Arabidopsis thaliana: one gene and its partner. The protein of the gene in region 2 interacts with the protein of the main gene of each other region in a pairwise test. Each region holds a gene or a part of one and is shown on either strand. Other genes may lie near its edges.

Evidence for each region.
Region 1: the proteins of PIN4 (region 2) and AT3G28220 interact in a protein complementation assay, tested with the Arabidopsis thaliana proteins (one large-scale study listed by BioGRID).

Annotation. Positions count from the first base shown.
Region 1 is NC_003074.8:10,522,034-10,526,731, forward strand, and holds the start of AT3G28220 (TRAF-like family protein), read left to right. Parts: upstream 1-2,147; 5' UTR 2,148-2,386; coding exon 2,387-2,727; intron 2,728-2,824; coding exon 2,825-2,997; intron 2,998-3,168; coding exon 3,169-3,451; intron 3,452-4,055; coding exon 4,056-4,213; intron 4,214-4,306; coding exon 4,307-4,464; 3' UTR 4,465-4,698. Other genes in the region: AT3G28216 (uncharacterized protein), read right to left, coding at 1,245-1,391.
Region 2 is NC_003071.7:181,517-186,214, forward strand, and holds the start of PIN4 (Auxin efflux carrier family protein), read right to left. Parts: upstream 2,249-4,698; 5' UTR 1,684-2,248; coding exon 489-1,683; intron 332-488; coding exon 64-331; intron 1-63. UniProt on the Arabidopsis thaliana protein: Acts as a component of the auxin efflux carrier. Plays a role in generating a sink for auxin into columella cells. Maintains the endogenous auxin gradient, which is essential for correct root patterning.

The DNA.
Region 1 (4,698 bases), on a different chromosome or scaffold from region 2:
TATTTTATTGGATTGAGTTTGAGTTTCAATTGAAAGTTGTTGTTTGGGTTTTACATAACACAAACATTGGGCCTTAATGGGCCAACGAAATTGGCAAGGTGAAGAAGAACAAAATGTGGGCAAAAGTTTGTTGCTCATTTAAGTCACCTATATATGCATTACAACGTACGACGTATAGTGGAGGTAGGTGAGAAAAGAATCTAAAAAGAGTTCTAGAGAAGAGAGATAAAAGAGCTTCCTAAACAAGCTTTCTTCTTCCTCTTTGTTGTTCTTGAATCTTTGTTCTTCTTGAGTGCAAATCTGTAAAACCAAAAGACATCATCACAAGTTAGTGAAGCTTGGGAGCAAGAGATCTCCCCCGAGACCCCGAGACGTAGCGGTTGAGGCCGTGAACTCGGTTACCAATTTCTGTGTCTGTTTATTTTCTTACCAAGCAATCTCTATCACTCTTTTCTCCACAAAAGTAATGAATAAATAACATAATAATGTTGTATATAACATACCAAACCCGAGGCAATTACAAGACAAAAACCATTATCCTACAAATTAAAAATTCAAGACAAATAGCCAAAAACCATAATCTATATCTTGAAGCCGAGATCATAGTCAAAACCATCATCCCATCATGTTACACATAAATCCGATAATCCAAATTAAAACCATCATCCTGAACATCATAAGTTTCCCAAACCAAAAGCTTTTACACAATTAATCACTAAGTGAAATTTGTGATACTTGATTCGGACCTTGATAAGAATGAAAGTGTAATCCTTTGTATTTCTTATCTATCAATCCAATTACAAAGAATCAAAACCCTAATCGATAAGCTTGAAGTTACAGTTCTCCAATCTTATCTCCTAAGAACAGAGCACATGCATAAGCCCTAATTCTACTCACAACATCAATATGATCACGAAGGATGCTTTTCTCTCTACTCTCTCTTAGACTCTTACTATTTATAAGTTTCTTCACACGTGACTCCGATCTCTCACTTCAGTTCTCACACGTGCCAACTTCTCATGAACGTATCAGACCTTCACCAAGTTGTTTTGTGGCCGACTTTTAGCTTGGATTCCAACATTAAAAATGTCATTCTCATCATCACCTCCTCTAACATCATTTCCATCATCACAAACTCGAGCATTCTCACCATTGACGTTTTCACAAGCTCTTTTCATCATTACATTCTTCAAGAATCTATTCCTTCTCCGTAAATATAACAACCGCTTTTGTCCACTTTGCAGCTAGACACATTCTCTCGAAAATATCATCTCTAGTATACAACGGTTCAGCTCTATAAACTTCTCAAAAGGAAGCTTATACCGTATCCTTTGCCCAAACAAAGACAATCCCACCGACTCCATCATGTTATTAAAAAAATTTTCTTGCATGCACACAAGTGTGTGAATCTGGCCTCCATCATATGTAAAAACATTACCGTCTGTACAAACAAAAAAAACTATTTTTGGCGAAAAAATTATCGTCGAAATATTGTTGGTAGGAAAAACACAATTTTATTTTGTTAACTTTAAACATTAAAAAAATAAGGATATATGGTTATTAAAAATTAAAAGAGAGTAATGAAAATGAATTACATGAAAGGGTAGAATTAAAAATGAGTAGCATTGGAAGGTCATTCCTAATAATTTATTTATTATAAATTCTAGATATTTATAAAATAAAAACTCAAATATTATTATATATTATACTATAAATTAATAAAAAATATTTTCTACAAATAAAAACATTTTTTAAAAATTAATTATTAAGCATTTAATCGATAGTTTTGATACGTATATAATAAAATATAGTTTTTAGTCTTTGTATTGATTACTGAAGTTCTACATTATAGCTAAAGCTAAAGCTAAATCCAAAAACAGAGGCTAGGATCGGAACAGAAGAACAAAACTATGTTGTGGTGTAGAGCGTTTGGGTCCATTTCTTGTTGTTAGCTAAAGCTATGTCTGGAGTGTTTGACGTTACATGCTAAATTTAGGTACAACTTAAACTTTTGTCTTTTTCTTGAAAACACGTGTTGAACAAATCTTTTCTGGTCGATAACTCAAGAAATCTTATCTGGTCGCAATCCATCTTATACCGACGTGAAATCTCAAGACACGTGAATATATAACTTGTTCATAATAACATTATCACTTTTATCGAACGCACAAAAGATCCTCCGCTATAAATATTTGTGGTGAAGAACTCTTTATACCAAACAAAAAAAGCTAAATACCAAATAAATGTTGGTACTCATCATACATATATAACTAACTCACCTTTTTGGTGTGTAGATAAATATATCTAACTAACTCCATTACATATTCCAGTCATTTGCTTATAAATTATAACCGTCACACTTACCAATTCAGTCACTTAACCAAACATGTCTGAAAAGGGGTTGATAAAAAAAGAAGACCACATGTTTCAAGAGGAGAAGAGAAAGACAAACTATGGAGCAATTGGCTTGGCTTGCTTCATTTCTTGTTTCTTTGCATTCCAATTCATGAAAATCGTAACAACACAACCTTCAACAACAACAACATCATCCATTGCCGTTATCGATAGCCCAATGTCCTCCCATAAGCTATCTGATAGGAGAGAAATATGGAGAGTTATCCCACCATCTACCTATTGTCTCAAAATCGAATCTTTCATAAAATTCGCCACTTCTCCAAACGCCGAGAAGTACGAATCCCGTCCTTTTGAATCCGGTGGATACAACTGGTAAGTAGTATTTTATCCTACATTTTGCATATGTCTTTGCATCACAAATTTTCAACGACACATTTGATTGTAAGACTATATATCCTTTTGCAAACAGGACACTTATTGTCTATCCTAAAGGAAACATTAAGGAAGGAGCTCCACTTAATTACGTTTCAATGTACGTCCAAATAGACAATTCAACACTCCTTAACTCTCCAAAAGAAGTTTACGCAGAAGTCAAATTCTTCATTTATAACCGGAAAGAGGACAAGTACTTAACATATCAAGGTATATACATCCGAACGCCCTATTTATATCTTATTTATAAACTATATTGTATTAATCAAATTTTCAACGTTTAAATTTAAAACAATTGAGACGCTGATAGTTTGCATAGTTTCAAATGCCAAAATTTGCATTTAAAAACACACAATCTCAAACGCATGTCTTGGTACACAGAGACGGATGCAAAACGCTTTTTTCTGTTCAAACCATATTGGGGATATGGTAATGTTAGACCCTACACCGACGTGGCTAATCCCAATGCTGGTTGGCTTTTCGACGGTGACAATGTTTTATTCGGTGTGGACGTATTTGTCACTGAAGTTTTTAACAAATGGGAAGTGTTCTCATTCACTAAGAGTTTGCATGACCGCCTTTACAAATGGACGTTACCCAATTTCTCGTCACTAGAGAAACAGTACTATGTCTCTGACAAGTTCGTGATCGGTGGGAGAAGCTGGTGAGTTCCTCATGTCATAAATTCTTTAAGCCACATATTGATACTTAGTCCTGGATGTTCGGTTATCCATTCCGTTATCGGTTTTTTCGGTTCTAAAGTTATTATCTATTTGGTTATTTTGAAATTTCGGTTTGGTTCTTTCGGTTTTAAATTTAGTATCCATTCCGTTATTTTGATTTGAATATTTTCGGATATTTTAATTATTTTTGGATATTTCGGTTATTTTTGGATATTTTTGATTATTTTTGAATATTTTAACTATTTTATATATATTTTTAATTATTTAGTTTAAAAATAACTAATATTTTTAATTATTTAGTTTAAAAATAACTAATATTTTTGGAAATATATTTATATTTCAGATATTTTGGTTATCCGGGATATTTTGGTACGTAGCCATTTAGTTTCGGTTCTTTCGGTTCTTTCGGTTATATATAGAATTTAGTATCCATTTGATTATTTTTTAATTTTTGATTCCGTTCGATTCTGTTATTTTGTTTCGATTTTAGTTCGGTACATTCGATTAGGTTTATTTGCGCAGGCTTACTAATACTGATTCAAGAAAAAATTAACTATTTACAATATTTTAATATACAACTCTTAGGGCTTTGAAAGTGTATCCAAGTGGCGATGGCGAAGGACAGGGTAACTCGTTGTCGTTATATGTTGTTGCGGTTGATGTTAAGCCGTATGACAAGATTTACCTAAAAGCTAAGCTACGGATTATAAACCAGAGAGATTCTAAACACATGGAGAAGAAAGGTAAATTATATCGAACCATAATAGTGTGGCTAATGTTACTTACTCTATTAATTTTTTTCTTTTAGAGTTTAATTAACACTAACTTAATGACAGTTGAAAGCTGGTCGGATCAAGCAAACAGTTGGGGATTCCAGAAGTTTGTACCATTTGCTGATCTTAAGGATACTTCTAAAGGTCTTCTTGTGAATGATACATTGAAGATGGAGATTGAATTTGAAGATTTCTCTAACACAAAATACTTTCCAAGTTAAGTTTTGCATAATGCAAAACCAGAGAGCTTGGAACCAATTGTGTTCTGTTTTTTAAGTGTTTTTGTGCTAATAATTGGAGGATTGGTCTTCCTAAGGTTTAGGAGCCTATCTCCCACTTTTCCCAATTCCCTAGTTTGTAGAAATCGTTGATTCCAAGCTAGCTTTTCTTGTACTTGTTTCCTATTTAAATAAATGAAAACTAAGAATAAAAGCAGTCTTAATTTACCATTGAAA
Region 2 (4,698 bases):
CTTTTCTTATTATAACATTTATCCATAAAATCTGTAAGTAAGAAAATGATTGGACTCACTGACCGGTAAGCAACAAGAGCCCATATGAGACCGATTAGACTGGAGTACGTGTTTGGGTTTCTGATCAGCTTTCTCCACACCATTATCAATATCAGTCGTGTCATCACACTTGTCGGCGGCATATGTGTTCCGTTGTTGCCGCCGCCATCTCCACCAGCCGCCTCTAGCTCCGCCGTGGAATTAGACCCCATTTTATTCAGCCCTGCTGTAGCTTTCTCTATCTCTCTTTCTCCCTCTCCACTATCAAGACCGCCGATATCATCACCACCACCTGAGAAAACCAAAAATCATGAATACATACAAAAATAATAGTATTCGAATAATAATAAAATTAAACCAACAAACCTCTAGCATATTATTTATGTAAACAATTTTCCGCAATTTTAGCTAAATAATATTTGATGACAAAAAAAAAAAAAAAAAAGAACCTCTAGCATTACTCTTTCGAGGTTGATCAGAGACAACCATCCGAATCTCCTTAGCACCTTGTTCAGATTGTTCCGTTGCCACGTTGTCGCCTGCACCTCCGCCAAACACGTCGGAGACCGGAGAAGCGCTTGAGCTCCAAACAAACATGTGAAGCTCCTTAGCGTCATGGCTCGCTTTGCTATCTTTCTCTTGCAGTTGCTGTTGGTTTTCTTTAGGAATTTTATTCGGTTTAGTTGAAACACCCGTACCGGTTGAAAACTCCGGGTTCGGAGCCGGGTACGAACCGGCCGCCGGAACAGAACTGTTAGTGTTATTGTAAAATCCATATTTAACGGCGTTGTTCTCTTCGAAGTTCGAAGGCCGTGGAGTCGGACCACGAGAAGATTGAACGGAGTACAAATCCGCCGGACCAAAATTCGAAAGCCTCCCGCCGGGAAACCCCATAACAGAGTAAAAATCAGAATGGTTAAAGTTAGAACCTCTCGGAGTCGAACTAAGACTATAGATCTCAGCTCCGGTAAGATTCGAAGGCCGTGGAGTCATCATCAGTGACCGTCTCGATGCGTTTGATTTCCTCACGGTAACATGAAGCTTCCCGTCGTTTCCTATCTCAGCATCCGTCTCAAGAAAATCATGACCGTCGAGAGAAACGACGTCGGATTCAACTTTAAACGAAACAATAGACGCACCAGTCTCCGGGAACTGCTCCATAATAAGAAGCTTAGCGCCACGGTACTCGAAGAGGAAGAGAAGGAGAGTGTACCAAATGATACACTGAAGAACAACGACTTGGACCATTAGAGAACCTGCGTAGGTTCCGTACATGGCGATCAACAGAGGGATCCCCATGACAAGAGTGTTTGGGAGAGTGCTGAGAGAGAAGATTGTGATCATCCACTCCAAGCTACCGTTCTTGGTTAGGTTAGCCCATAGAGCAAGTAAGACGAGCATGATGATTTTTTGAAGCGTGTCGGCGGCGACGAAGCGGAAATTCATGGCGTAAGGATCGTTGGTGGAGATGAAGTGGAAGGAGAGGAGAGGGACGGCGAAGATAGCGACGAAGCGGTTGATGCCGGAGCACTGGTCTGGTGAGAATATCTTCCACCACTGTACGGATCCGTAGGCGAGAATCATAGCTACGTAAAGTGGTACCACGGCGGTGAGGACGGTGTACAAGTCGTGCCACGTAATCATTTTTTCCGGTGGGTTTTGGAGTTTAGTGAGAAGACAGTGGCATTTGAGGGGGAATTAGAAGGAAGAAGAGGGGTAGAATGGGAAGAATAATAAAGAAACCGTTAAGAGAGAAAAGTACAGTAATGATTTACAAGGATTCGGTGAAGAGGACTAATTTATAGAGGTTTTTGAGGCAGTGACAGTGTCATCATCATCATCAGCACACGATTACGTTTTTTAAGTTTGATTAATAATTTGATTTAAAATGGCTTTGTGTGTAGTTGAGTGGGGACACGTGGCAAATCGCATGTGGGGGGAGTTTTCTGGAGGGACGTGGACAGTTTTATGGAATAGTCGTGCTTTTTTGCTACTATCTTATTACGAAAAAGTGGTCTTGTTTTTGCACTTTTTGAAAGTTGCAAAAGGAACTTTGGCGAATACTACGAATTACTGTATCTGTGATCGTTTTTCTTGTAAATGTAATTTGAGTTTTGATTCCAAATAGAATCAAACTATTGTCTACGTACTTGGTACAAGAAGACAGCCACATAAAAATTACAAGAAGAACAAATGTCATTAGTGTTAGGTCCAAGCCACTGTTGGACCGTTGAATTAATTACACACATTTATTCCCTTTTCAAAAATTCTCACTTGCTATGACTAGAATAATATTTTGTTTTTTGTTTTTGTTTTGTTAAACTTGTAAATATCATTAAAAATAAAATTTGAGGTATTACAAAAAAAATATTACTTATAGTTACTTATATTACAAAAAGTATTTACAAGCTCACATCTCGTCATTTTCTCACTCTTAAAATTTTACTCTCCCTTATCTCTAAAACTTCAGCCGCCGCCTGCGTTTAGGGTTACCGGTTCCGGTGGCTTTCTCAGCACCGGAACCGAAGTCTTTTGTTTTGCTCTTATTCTATCTTTTTTCTTTAGACACATCTGAGAGATTTTTTTCCAACGGTTGTGAATCTGAATTTTCAGATCTAGATATTTAAAGTCTAAAACTTTTTCTTTTTAGGTTTTTGCTGTTTGTCTTTTGTCTTTTTCAAGAACAGAGTCAGATCTGGCCGATCCATCCAAGGCAGAAGCGTTTCTATCCAAATTTTCGCCTCAGACTTCTGAAATTCCACCTGAAGATCCCGATCTCGTTCTCTCCTTCATGAGGCTCTCACTCCTTTGGGTCTCTGGATGATGGTTTTATCTCATCGCCCATTCGTGTTTAGGTTGAGTTAAGTGAGGCTTCTAGTCTCAGATCTATCAGTTTATCATTGTTGTTTTAGACTTTGTATATTTCGTTTGAACTCTTGGATTTTGGGTCTGGGAAGTACTTGATCAGATGTGATGTAATTTGTTAGATCGGTTTTTTTCCCCTTTGTTTCATTTAAATATGTTTTTAGTTCCTGGAAGGTCCCATGTACTCTCCGGCTTTTAGAAGAGTGTTTCTCTTGTCAGCTCTTGTACTCAGATCTTCTATCAATGAAATCTATATTTCCAGTGAAAAAAAAAATAGTTATAGATAGATGTTGGTCTGAGACTCTCCGACTCATTAGACCATCCTCATCGAATAATTTTTCATAGATGTATTTCATATAAAATAATATTAAAGGTATAGATGTCTTAAATGTTTTAGGAAGATATAATTTTCATTTTAATGACCCTCATATTTTTTATTTGTTTTACTCTTTTATATTTAAAAATAGCCATCTAAAAACACTCATAAAAATAACCAATGTGGATACTCTTAAATCAGTTTGGACATAACCAACAAAAAGGAAAGAATAAAGAAGTAGGTGGTCGCAAAATCACTAGGATTTGATAGATTCAAGCAGAAACTAAAAGGAGCGAGATTTCTGGGAAATATCAGAGAAGCAGACGAGGTCAAGTCCTATAAATCTGATGGAGAGTAATGTATAGAGGCATCAATTGTACACTAGAAAATCCCTAATATTACTTACTCATCTAGCTCTAAGAAGTAAGAACATCTCAGCGAAATCTTTGTAACTTTATTTCGGTATATAAAAGTCCAGTTTGATTCTTAAAATTGTGATCATGTTTGATTCGATGGAGGACTAGTTATGCGATCTTGCATCCACAATAGAGTAATATTGACCAGAAAGAAATTACAAACAAAGTTACAATAGTATGACATGGAAAAATACCAAATCCAAAGGATCATCAACGTTGGAATGTAAAAATTTTGATTTGTGTAACTCATAGTCATAGGATGTGTTCGAGGAGTGAATAATCTCCCATGCTTAATACTAGTATATATCTGGATGCGAAATTCGCAATTTTTTTATTTTTGTAGCGAAATGGTAAAAAGAGATTCAAAACATTCATCCAGCAATCACTTTAATTAATCCGAATGATTGCAAATGAAAATAGATTCTTTATTGAACACATATGTTTACAAAACAAGAATAGTATTTTTTTCTCATAAGCCTTCCGGAAAAAGTCTACTTCATCATAGAAAAATGAGAAAAATGATCAATGATCATCTATGAGATCAACGATCATAGATGGGATTTGTAACACAACAACACAATAACGGGTTTCATCAATTTTCAAGTCTACTTCATCATCCATCAAGACTTTGGTCTTTAAATATACAATGGAAGCAAATTAAAATGATCGTTCAAAAATCTTACAAACCAGGAAACATAGAAAAGTGAGAATGTGGAGATCAGTTCAATGATATTGTAACTATTGAAAAACGGTTTTTGATCGGCTTCACTATCTCCGAAGGCAACGTTCAACTTGTCTTCGAGCTCCCTGCAAGCCGTCTTGACCCGTGATCATTGATCTCAACATTTTCGATAAAATCAAACTTACATCGTAGCCGACTGAAGAAGTATGGCATCCGAATGAATTGGTAATAACAAATTATAGTTTTGTTTCTCTCCACAATATATATGTGTTATTGTAACAATGATTATTGCTTGGTAACCAAAATATATAGTCGTAAGAATATCATTCACATCTTTATCTACCAGACCTGTGATGTAGATAAACTTGCTCAAATTCAAA